Drosophila melanogaster: one gene and its partner. The protein of the gene in region 1 interacts with the protein of each later gene in a pairwise test. Each region holds a gene or a part of one and is shown on either strand. Other genes may lie near its edges.

Region 1 (3,553 bases):
ATCTACAGGATGTGTCTGCGGATCTGAATCCGACTCTGGCGCCTGTCGTGTTGCCTCCTGCCTCCAATTGTTAATTGGACCACCCTGTCAAGGCATGACTTATCTGCAGACTTTATGCTTGATTCCCGCCTCTAATTTGCATGTGGGCTTGGTGCGTCTTTAGGAGATTTAAGGTTGACGGGTTAATCCCTGTGTTAACTCATTAGGCTTTGTTCTAGCGAGCGAAATTTAATCAAGAAAATGTACACACCAAGAAGTTTGCTATACATTTTTATTTAATCGAGGAAAAAAACAATGTCAGTTTTAAAAAACAATGGGATCATTTCTATTGTTATAAGCTAGTGAAAAGTGCACATATACATATTATTCTTACTTCCTACAACCACTTTGCACTTTAAGCTGCTAAACAGTTTCGAGTTTGCACAACCAGCAGTCACAAAAAACCGCTTTAATGATAAAGGCAAAAATCGCAGACGATGCTCAAAATTCCCACTAATAAAGTGCACTTTAATCATTTCATCATCAGCGGTGTTCCCGAGACCATATTCTCCTCTTGAAGGGCTGGTGGATCGGTTCGGTGTTAACAAGATAAGCATCCTGCCCGTCGGCTCCGACGGGACGCCATCATTATTATGACATTTTGTTTGATTGCCTGCCCCGCTGGATGGCTCTGCTTCTGGGCCATGTTCGCCAGTTGGTCAGTTAGCCAGTTCGCCAGCCAACTTCTGTAGAATTGTGCGTGTGGCCCAGAAGAACAGGCCACATTCATTGCCGGTGCAATTTTTATGGGCTTTTTGTTTTCGGGACTTGTGTTCTTGTTTGTCTCTTTGCCGCCAACGTCTTCAGCTTGATTTATTGGCCGAGTTTATAAAGCAGAGCCGCTGGTTTTATGATCTGTCCGGAGTGGGAGAAGAAGTGGCATTTTATGTGTGTGCATGTATCAGGCTTTAAATACAGTAGCAGCTCTGGAAGGGTATAACTAGCCATGTTGATTTTTGGGGTCAATCAAGAACAGGTTGGAAAAACTTTCCTCTGCATCGACTCGTATGCAAATGATTATGACGGAACCCCACATAAACAAACGGGATCAGTCTGGTTAGTCGAATGAGTTTTCCACTTCGCAGGCAATTAATTTTCGCACTCGCTTGCAAGTGGAAAATTAATTGCGTGTTTTGCATAATCAGTAAATTGGTCGTTTATTTTAGTACTTAATTTGCCCAGGATCGCACCACAAGCAGCACCTCGTTCTTCCAGCGAATCAGAGGAATCCCACTCCACTCCTCTCCAACTAGTAATATAAATTATGACTCTGGACACCAACACATGCAGCGATCTGGCGTTGGTTTTGCGCTCGAGCATTGGCAAATTAAACAGATTCTTATTTGCAAATCAGATAAGAGATCATGCCAGGGAACAGCGACCAGATACGAATTCTCAGTCGCCCAGATAGACAGATACCGATATGGGGATTCGGCTAGAGCTGCCTTAATATTTATCGGTCGCGTGAGCGTGTTACCTAATTGATGACAACAGGTAGGCGCTTCTGTCAAGCCCAGTATTATGATGGCATCGAAGGATCGCATCCCGGCTAGCTTATGATAACCAGACACGCAAAGCGACAACTGGGCAGCACGGAGCGGAGCAGCAGGTGGGATCTCCTCGACTACTGTTTGAATCCGAATTTTTGAAAATGGTATATATTACATAGATCTGGCCAATGTTTATCTTTAAATATATGTATTAAATTGAATTACATTAATGTACAAAAAGGAAAGTATTTTTGTTAAGTGTACATGAGCACATATGTGTTATTTGTAGGAGATATTTGGGAAAGGTCACACCGATTCAGCCCACATTACATTTCAAGATCACCGGAATTTAAATGTTTACATTGCCAAATAAATGATAAGGCTGTTCTGCATGGAGATGTATAAAATGGATGGGTTGCAGTGGAATGCAATTCATTTCCAACAGTTGAATCGTGATCGTATTTTGAAATGGTAGTACTACAGCTTTTCTGCATGTTGTTGATCCTTCGCCAAGGACTAGCTGACGTGGTAACCTCGACCACCGAATCACCCACTAGGATAAATGGAGGACAGCGCGTGAACGAGACGGTGCCCTTCCAGGTGTCCTTGCAAATGCAGCGACGTGGACGCTGGCAGCACTTTTGTGGAGGATCCATTGTGAGCGGTCAGCACGTCCTTACGGCGGCCCACTGTATGGAGAAGATGAAGGTCGAGGACGTTAGCGTGGTCGTGGGGACGCTTAACTGGAAGGCCGGTGGACTACGTCACCGGTTGGTGACCAAGCACGTCCATCCCCAGTACTCGATGAATCCTCGCATTATCAATGACATTGCCCTGGTCAAGGTTACTCCGCCGTTCCGCCTGGAGCGATCCGATATCAGTACAATTCTAATCGGTGGCTCGGATCGCATTGGCGAGAAGGTTCCGGTACGCCTCACCGGCTGGGGATCCACCAGTCCATCCACTTCCTCGGCGACTCTGCCCGATCAGCTGCAGGCTTTGAACTATCGCACCATCTCGAACGAGGATTGCAATCAAAAGGGATTTCGGGTGACTCGGAACGAGATCTGCGCACTGGCTGTCCAGGGTCAAGGGGCATGTGTGGTGAGTAAACAAAAAGTAATATCACGCTAAGCGGAATTAATCATGCTTTCCCAAACTTAGGGCGACTCTGGTGGACCCTTGATTAGGCCCGGTAAGCAGCCGCACTTGGTGGGAATTGTCTCCTACGGATCATCCACCTGTGCCCAGGGCAGACCCGACGTCTACACGCGGGTGTCCAGTTTTCTGCCCTACATCAGTCAGGTGATCAACCAAGACTTGGCCCAATAAATACCGACCTGTAGCGCATAAATAAACCGAGTCTCTGCCCGAACTTGACTAAATTCCTCGAAGTCTTGCGTTCTTGGTCACATCCCCCCACTTTCTACGCTTTGGCGACTAATTAAAAATCTTGTTCAATATTCGCCACAGCCAGAGGGAGGGTGGAGGAGTTCGGCAGTCCGGGTGTGGCGTCCACAGAGTCGCCTTGCCATCTTCGTGGTCTAGGCTTGGCCCGACTCCAGCGAAAACTTGGGCTGCCGCCTGCCAGGGCGACCATGATAAATGCAAAAAGCAATTTATCGCGCATTTAACTCAATTCAGTTTCTTTATGGCAGCGGGATGTGGATGCGAGCTTGAGGATGTGGAGACGTGGGGATGTGGAGCCGGAGCGCTTGGTCGACGGAGCCTGCCACAAAGTTTCGCTGACACGCACACTGTTCTGCGAACTCTGGACTCCTCTCCAAAGACCGGGCCTTGTAATTCGATATTAGATTTTATGCGCGACAAAAACGAAGTGCAAACATTTTTATGTTCCCGCCGTTTCTATGCTGCAATTGGTATACCAATTTGACGGGGCGCCGACTTTGACTTTAACTTTAACTTCGGTCTGGGCTCCACTGCGTCTGTGTAATTAGGTTCAAATAATGTGGAGCTCAGCCTCTTCGCGCCACACTAGTCAGCAAGATATTGTAGTTCGCACA
Region 2 (6,120 bases), on another chromosome or scaffold:
ACAACGGCCACCACTTCCACAGAGGACGGTGAGCCCATCGCCCTAGACATTGGCATTGGCATCGGTTCGAGTGGAACACCGCTCGCCTCGGACTCTGAAAGCAATCAGGAGGCGCCGCCCAAGACCAACAGCCTGCCCATCCTGACTCCCACACAGCACTCGAGCCAGAATCAGAATCAAAAGCAGTCGCCGAGCCAGCCCCACAAAACTAACAATTCGATCACCAACAACGGTCAGCCTGCTCCTTTGGCAGAAGAGGAAGCGGTTACAGCAGCACCACAGCCAGCCAGCAAAGCGACTGCAGCACCAGCCAATGGAAATGGTAACGGGAACGGCGTCCTGGGCGACGAGGATGAGGATGAGGCGGAGGACGAGGAGGAAGATGAGCTGGACGAGGAGGAGGATAATGAGGCGGAGCTAGAGGCTGACGAGAGCAATAGCAGCAACGGCATTGTGAGGGACAGTAAACTGCAGCAGCTGGCGGCGAACAAGGCGGTGGATGCGGTTTCACCGGTAGCAGCGGGTGCAGACTCGGCACCAGCCATTGGACAGAAGCGTACTGCCCTGCACTGCGATATGGAGCTGAAGAACGCCGGCGGAGTGGGTGTGGGCGTGGGGGAGAAGTCACCGGATCTAAAGAAACTGCGCAGCGAATGAGGCGGAGGTGAGGAAACGAAATACGGATACGGATGCGGATGCGGGTCAGAAACGGGGATCGGTTCGGCTCGGCACGTTTCGGTTCGCCGCGTATCCGGTGGAAAGACATATGTATGTAGTGCAGTTGAGTCGACATAGAGACATAGAGCAACATTACCTACACTTTACCACAACAACATTCAAGAAATTCTACTATTAAGCAACTAACTATACATACATATAATATATTATATATATATATATATACACATATATATATATATATATACAACATATAACGAGATGCGAACACCCAACACACTCCACTCTCATACACACAACACAGACACACACAACCCGACATAACATGAACATAACCGATCAGATCAGAGCGGAATATAGGATCCCGATCCAGAAGGCAGTAAGCAGCACCACAAACAACATTTCAATAGCATAGAAAGCGCGCCAAGATGAAGAATCAGAAGAATCCGATCAAGAATCCGAAGAACAAGCAGCAGAATCAGCAGCAACAGAGAGTTCAGAATGCAGCGTTAACGTAATTTAACTAAAACGAAAAGCAAATGCATACATGAATAGTAACTACAAAACAAGATCAGATGGAAATCGATATTTTTACACAGTCAAAAGGAACATTTAAATATAAAGAAATTTACAAATGCCGCAGTTGCCCACTACATACAAAAAACAAAAAAAAAATATGAAAAATAAAAAGCGAAAGAAAACAAAATGATTAAGATGGAAACAACAATAATTATAATAAACAGAAACGTAATTTATATACATAGGTATTTAAATTTAATAATAAATCAAAACTTGTCGTATAAACCAAGCCCCCCACCACCAACTCCACCACCACCCCCTTCGACCGTCGACCCGCAGCAACTCGCGCTCTCTCTCTATCTCTCTCACTCAAAACACGCCGCACACAGAATACACCCCCTCCCCACACACATAAACACACAAACACTCGGAAGAAACAAAACAAAACAAAACTCATTTCAACACTAAGAAATTTTTGTGGTCGTAATTATAATAATATAATTTATATTATGTGTAAAACTTTTTTTTAACTTTACATATACTGAATTTTTTATAATTTATACGATAATCACGTTTCATTTGATTTCCAAAAGAGAAAAAAGAAGATACGGAAGCATACGGCCCGCATCTTAATTGCACCCGACGCAGGTCGTCCGATCTCCGCGTGGTTTGGGTTGCCGGTACCGGGTGGTTTCCCCGATATCCACGACCCATACCACTCGCAGATCGGTCGGAACTTTGAAAGTAACAACACATCTGAAAATTATAATCATTTTTATTATTAGTAGCATAAGTGCGAATAAAATGTGAAATATTAAGAAAACACGGCATAAAACTGAAAACATCCCACAATCATCTTCAATTGTTTTATCACTTCAATGGGGTTTTTGCATTTGGTGTTTGAATAGGCGTTACATCGAGAGCCGTTGGAACTAGTCATCGACTTATCGAAAATAATGTAATGGCTCGTCCGAATATGGCAACGCTCTTCAAGTGGGCAGATGTATCGATGTCTATGCATCGATAGCATGGTGTGCTAACAACACAGCTCTAGTGCTAATCAAAAGAAAACACAGAACAGGACGGAAATATATAGAATACTTTTGCACTTAATTTGACTTGCCACGACTACCTGGCCAACTCGATCGGCGATATAGACCACCGGCCCATCAGTCAATTTCATTCTGGCATTGATCGAGCTCCGTGAAACTTGCATTCCAGCTGGCCACCATCCCATACGTCCATATATCCTTTATAAAATATCTATAAATCGAAGAGGAATCCTAGCCCCGCCGACCATGTCATTGGATCGCCTTGGTTGCTGGCCGGATCGGAGTTAATTGAGACTATGCACCGGAATCGAAACAGCTCCGCATTGAAGTACACGTAGAGAGCATTTCCGAGTCCGCCCCCGTTCGGAGCCCCGTTCCTTGATCCCCTGGAAGATCGATTGTGGTCCCGGCGAGCGGAGGGCAGAATCCAGAGGAGGAGGAGGAGCAGGAGCAGCAGTGGAAACGCCGGCATGCTGCTGGTGCGTCAGCTATTCGGGGCTTCGGCCAACTCCTGGGCACGCGCCCTCATCATATTCGTACTGGCCTGGATCGGGTTGGTCTACGTGTTCGTGGTCAAGCTGACCAATACTCAGGGCCAGCAGGCGGCCGGGGAGAGTGAGCTGAACGCCCGTCGCATATCACAGGCGCTCCAGATGCTGGAGCACACGAGACAGCGCAATGAGGAGCTTAAACAGCTCATCGACGAGTTGATGAGGTAGGTGGCTGGAGCTGTGGGGATACAGCCGGGGGCAGCACAATAGCACAAAATATATCATTGTTAGCACTCGCCTGGAACCCCTTTTGGTCTTGCTATAAAGTAAACAAATGATTATACACGTTAATTGCGATTTTAAATACCGCCATAGCTGTGATATCAAAGAGATTAGCATCAATCAATAACCAGTTCTCGGTTTATGTAGAAATAAAGAAGCTTCAATAGTATTTGTATTAAATATAGCTTCCTGAAACATTGTACCATAGCAGTTACACTTTTGCGATCACCATAATGATGTTTTGTCAGCAGCCAGGCTAATTATTCATGGCACGTAGGCGGAATTACATGCGATAAGCTGCTTTGCTAACCTGAACCCCCATCTCCCTCTTTTTTTTTTTTATTTTCCAGTGACCAACTGGACAAGCAGAGCGCAATGAAACTGGTGCAAAGGCTGGAGAACGATGCGCTAAATCCAAAGCTGGCGCCCGAGGTCGCCGGCCCGGAACCAGAATCCATGTTCGAGTCCGCCCCCGCTGATCTGCGCGGTTGGAATAATGTGGCCGAGGGAGCGCCCAATGATCTGGAGGCCGGTGTTCCGGATCATGGCGAATTCGAGCCCAGCCTAGAGTACGAGTTCACGCGCAGACGCATCCAGACGAACATCGGTGAGATCTGGAATTTCTTCAGCAGTGAACTGGGCAAAGTGCGTAAGGCAGTGGCCGCCGGCCATGCGAGTGCCGATTTGGAGGAGTCCATTAACCAGGTGCTGCTCCAAGGCGCCGAGCACAAGCGCTCCCTGCTGAGCGATATGGAGCGGATGCGTCAGTCCGATGGCTACGAGGCCTGGCGACACAAGGAGGCACGGGATTTGAGCGATTTGGTACAGCGGCGCCTGCACCATCTACAGAATCCCAGTGATTGCCAGAATGCTCGCAAGCTGGTCTGTAAGCTCAACAAGGTGCGTTATATATTCTTATTATTCCTATTTCTTGAGCTAATCTTTCGGTTACTATAATGCCACCTTACTTGTCAGCCATTAATCTAATTCGTTATTCCTAAATCCCCAGGGCTGTGGCTACGGCTGCCAACTGCACCATGTGGTGTATTGCTTTATAGTGGCCTACGCCACCGAGCGGACGCTCATCTTAAAATCCCGCGGATGGCGGTATCACAAGGGCGGCTGGGAGGAGGTGTTCCAACCGGTGTCCAACAGCTGCCATGATGCGGGCACCGCCAACACATACAATTGGCCGGGCAAGCCGAACACCCAGGTGCTGGTGTTGCCCATCATTGACTCGCTGATGCCGAGACCGCCGTACCTGCCGCTCGCCGTTCCCGAGGATCTGGCGCCGAGACTTAAGCGTCTGCATGGAGACCCCATCGTTTGGTGGGTGGGTCAGTTCCTTAAGTATTTGCTCCGACCGCAACCAACGACGCGGGATTTTCTTACCTCTGGCATGCGCAATTTGGGTTGGGAGCGTCCCATTGTTGGGTAAGTGAACCAAGAGTCGATTTGTTCTTTTGAAAAAAATTAAATATTCGGGTTTTTTCTTACAGCGTTCATGTCCGTCGCACGGACAAAGTGGGCACAGAAGCGGCCTGCCACAGTGTGGAGGAGTATATGACCTATGTCGAGGACTACTACCGCACGCTGGAGGTAAACGGCAGCACTGTGGCTCGCCGGATTTTCCTCGCATCGGATGATGCCCAGGTTATTGAGGAGGCGCGCCGAAAGTACCCGCAGTACCAGATCATTGGTGATCCGGAGGTGGCGCGCATGGCGTCCGTATCCACACGATACACGGACACCGCCCTGAACGGGATCATTCTGGATATCCACCTGCTTTCCATGTCCGATCATCTGGTGTGCACCTTCTCGTCGCAGGTGTGTCGCGTGGCCTACGAGATAATGCAGACGATGTATCCGGATGCAGCGCATCGGTTCAAGTCGCTGGACGACATATACTACTACGGTGGCCAGAATGCGCACAATCGCCGCGTCGTTATCGCCCACAAGCCGCGCACGCACGAGGATCTACAGCTGCGTGTTGGTGACCTCGTCTCGGTGGCTGGTAACCATTGGGATGGCAATTCCAAGGGCAAGAATACCCGCACCAACCAGGGCGGCCTATTCCCCTCGTTCAAGGTGGAGGAGAAGGTGGACACCGCCAAGCTGCCTCTCTATGCGGGCATTTAGTTAGTTGCTCACATCACTACATTCTCGGCCATGTTGTTGATCGATCTGTAAATCCTATCTGCCGCATTCCACCTGGAATTTCCATGGTGCATATCGATTCGGCTCGGATCAGCATCACCAGAATCTATCGAATGTCCAGAATCTCAAATGAAATCTCGCTCTTTCTGTACTTGTCCATCAATATGTGACTATTTCTTCATGTTCTCGTCTGCGCACTTTTACGCTCTGATTTCGATTCCGAATCTTATTCTTATTCTTATTCTGCATTTGTACAAGTCTTTTAATAAGATGTAAGTCGAAAGCCGAAGAAATTATGTTGACAAGAATATACATAAAGATATTTATATATATAAATAAATTATATATAGAAGTGCATGTAGTTTCACTAAGCGCAATATAGTCTATCACCTGTAAAATAGTTGAAAGAAAACAAAAACAAAGATAAAAAACGAACGCAAAACAAAACTAAAACTGATAAATTCAAGCGTCATAGTAAAAGAAATAAATAGTAATGTTTTAAAAAGCAAATATTGAAAGCGATTTACCTTTTCTGCAACTCTGGGCTGTGGGCTTCGCTACCAGGCGAACAGAAATTTCAGAATGAGACCAACGATCTTTTGGAATTTCGTTTTCAGTATACACCTGCTATTTATTGTAATCGCCTGATGCAAAAAATCAATATATTTACCATAAAAATGTGCATTTTGTACAGACTGGCAGTTTGTTTTCTGCTACTGGTTATGATCGCCTGGTACGAAAAATCTAAAAATTTTCCTCAAAAATGTGTAATTCCTTATTCAAAATTGGAAATTCTAATTTTTTGTCGTTGAATTTCATCAGGCAGCTGGTTTTGAAAATCAATAATTTATTGATTTATTTATTTATTTTAGCGAAACTTTAAAAATTATGGTCCAAATATGGAATGTCATACATCGTTGAGCTCGTAATTGAATTCCGAA

The links.
Region 2: the proteins of CG3916 (region 1) and FucT6 interact in a two-hybrid assay, tested with the Drosophila melanogaster proteins (one large-scale study listed by BioGRID).

The regions. Positions count from the first base shown.
Region 1 is NT_033777.3:12,227,459-12,231,011, forward strand, and holds CG3916 (uncharacterized protein), read left to right. Parts: upstream 1-1,954; 5' UTR 1,955-1,997; coding exon 1,998-2,633; intron 2,634-2,693; coding exon 2,694-2,861; 3' UTR 2,862-2,967; downstream 2,968-3,553.
Region 2 is NC_004354.4:11,706,047-11,712,166, reverse strand, and holds FucT6 (alpha1,6-fucosyltransferase), read left to right. Parts: upstream 1-2,215; 5' UTR 2,216-2,719; coding exon 2,720-2,964; intron 2,965-3,372; coding exon 3,373-3,922; intron 3,923-4,031; coding exon 4,032-4,456; intron 4,457-4,521; coding exon 4,522-5,161; 3' UTR 5,162-5,592; downstream 5,593-6,120. Other genes in the region: amun, read left to right, coding at 1-657. UniProt on the Drosophila melanogaster protein: Catalyzes the addition of fucose in alpha 1-6 linkage to the first GlcNAc residue, next to the peptide chains in N-glycans. The addition is prevented if the GlcNAc residue is already fucosylated.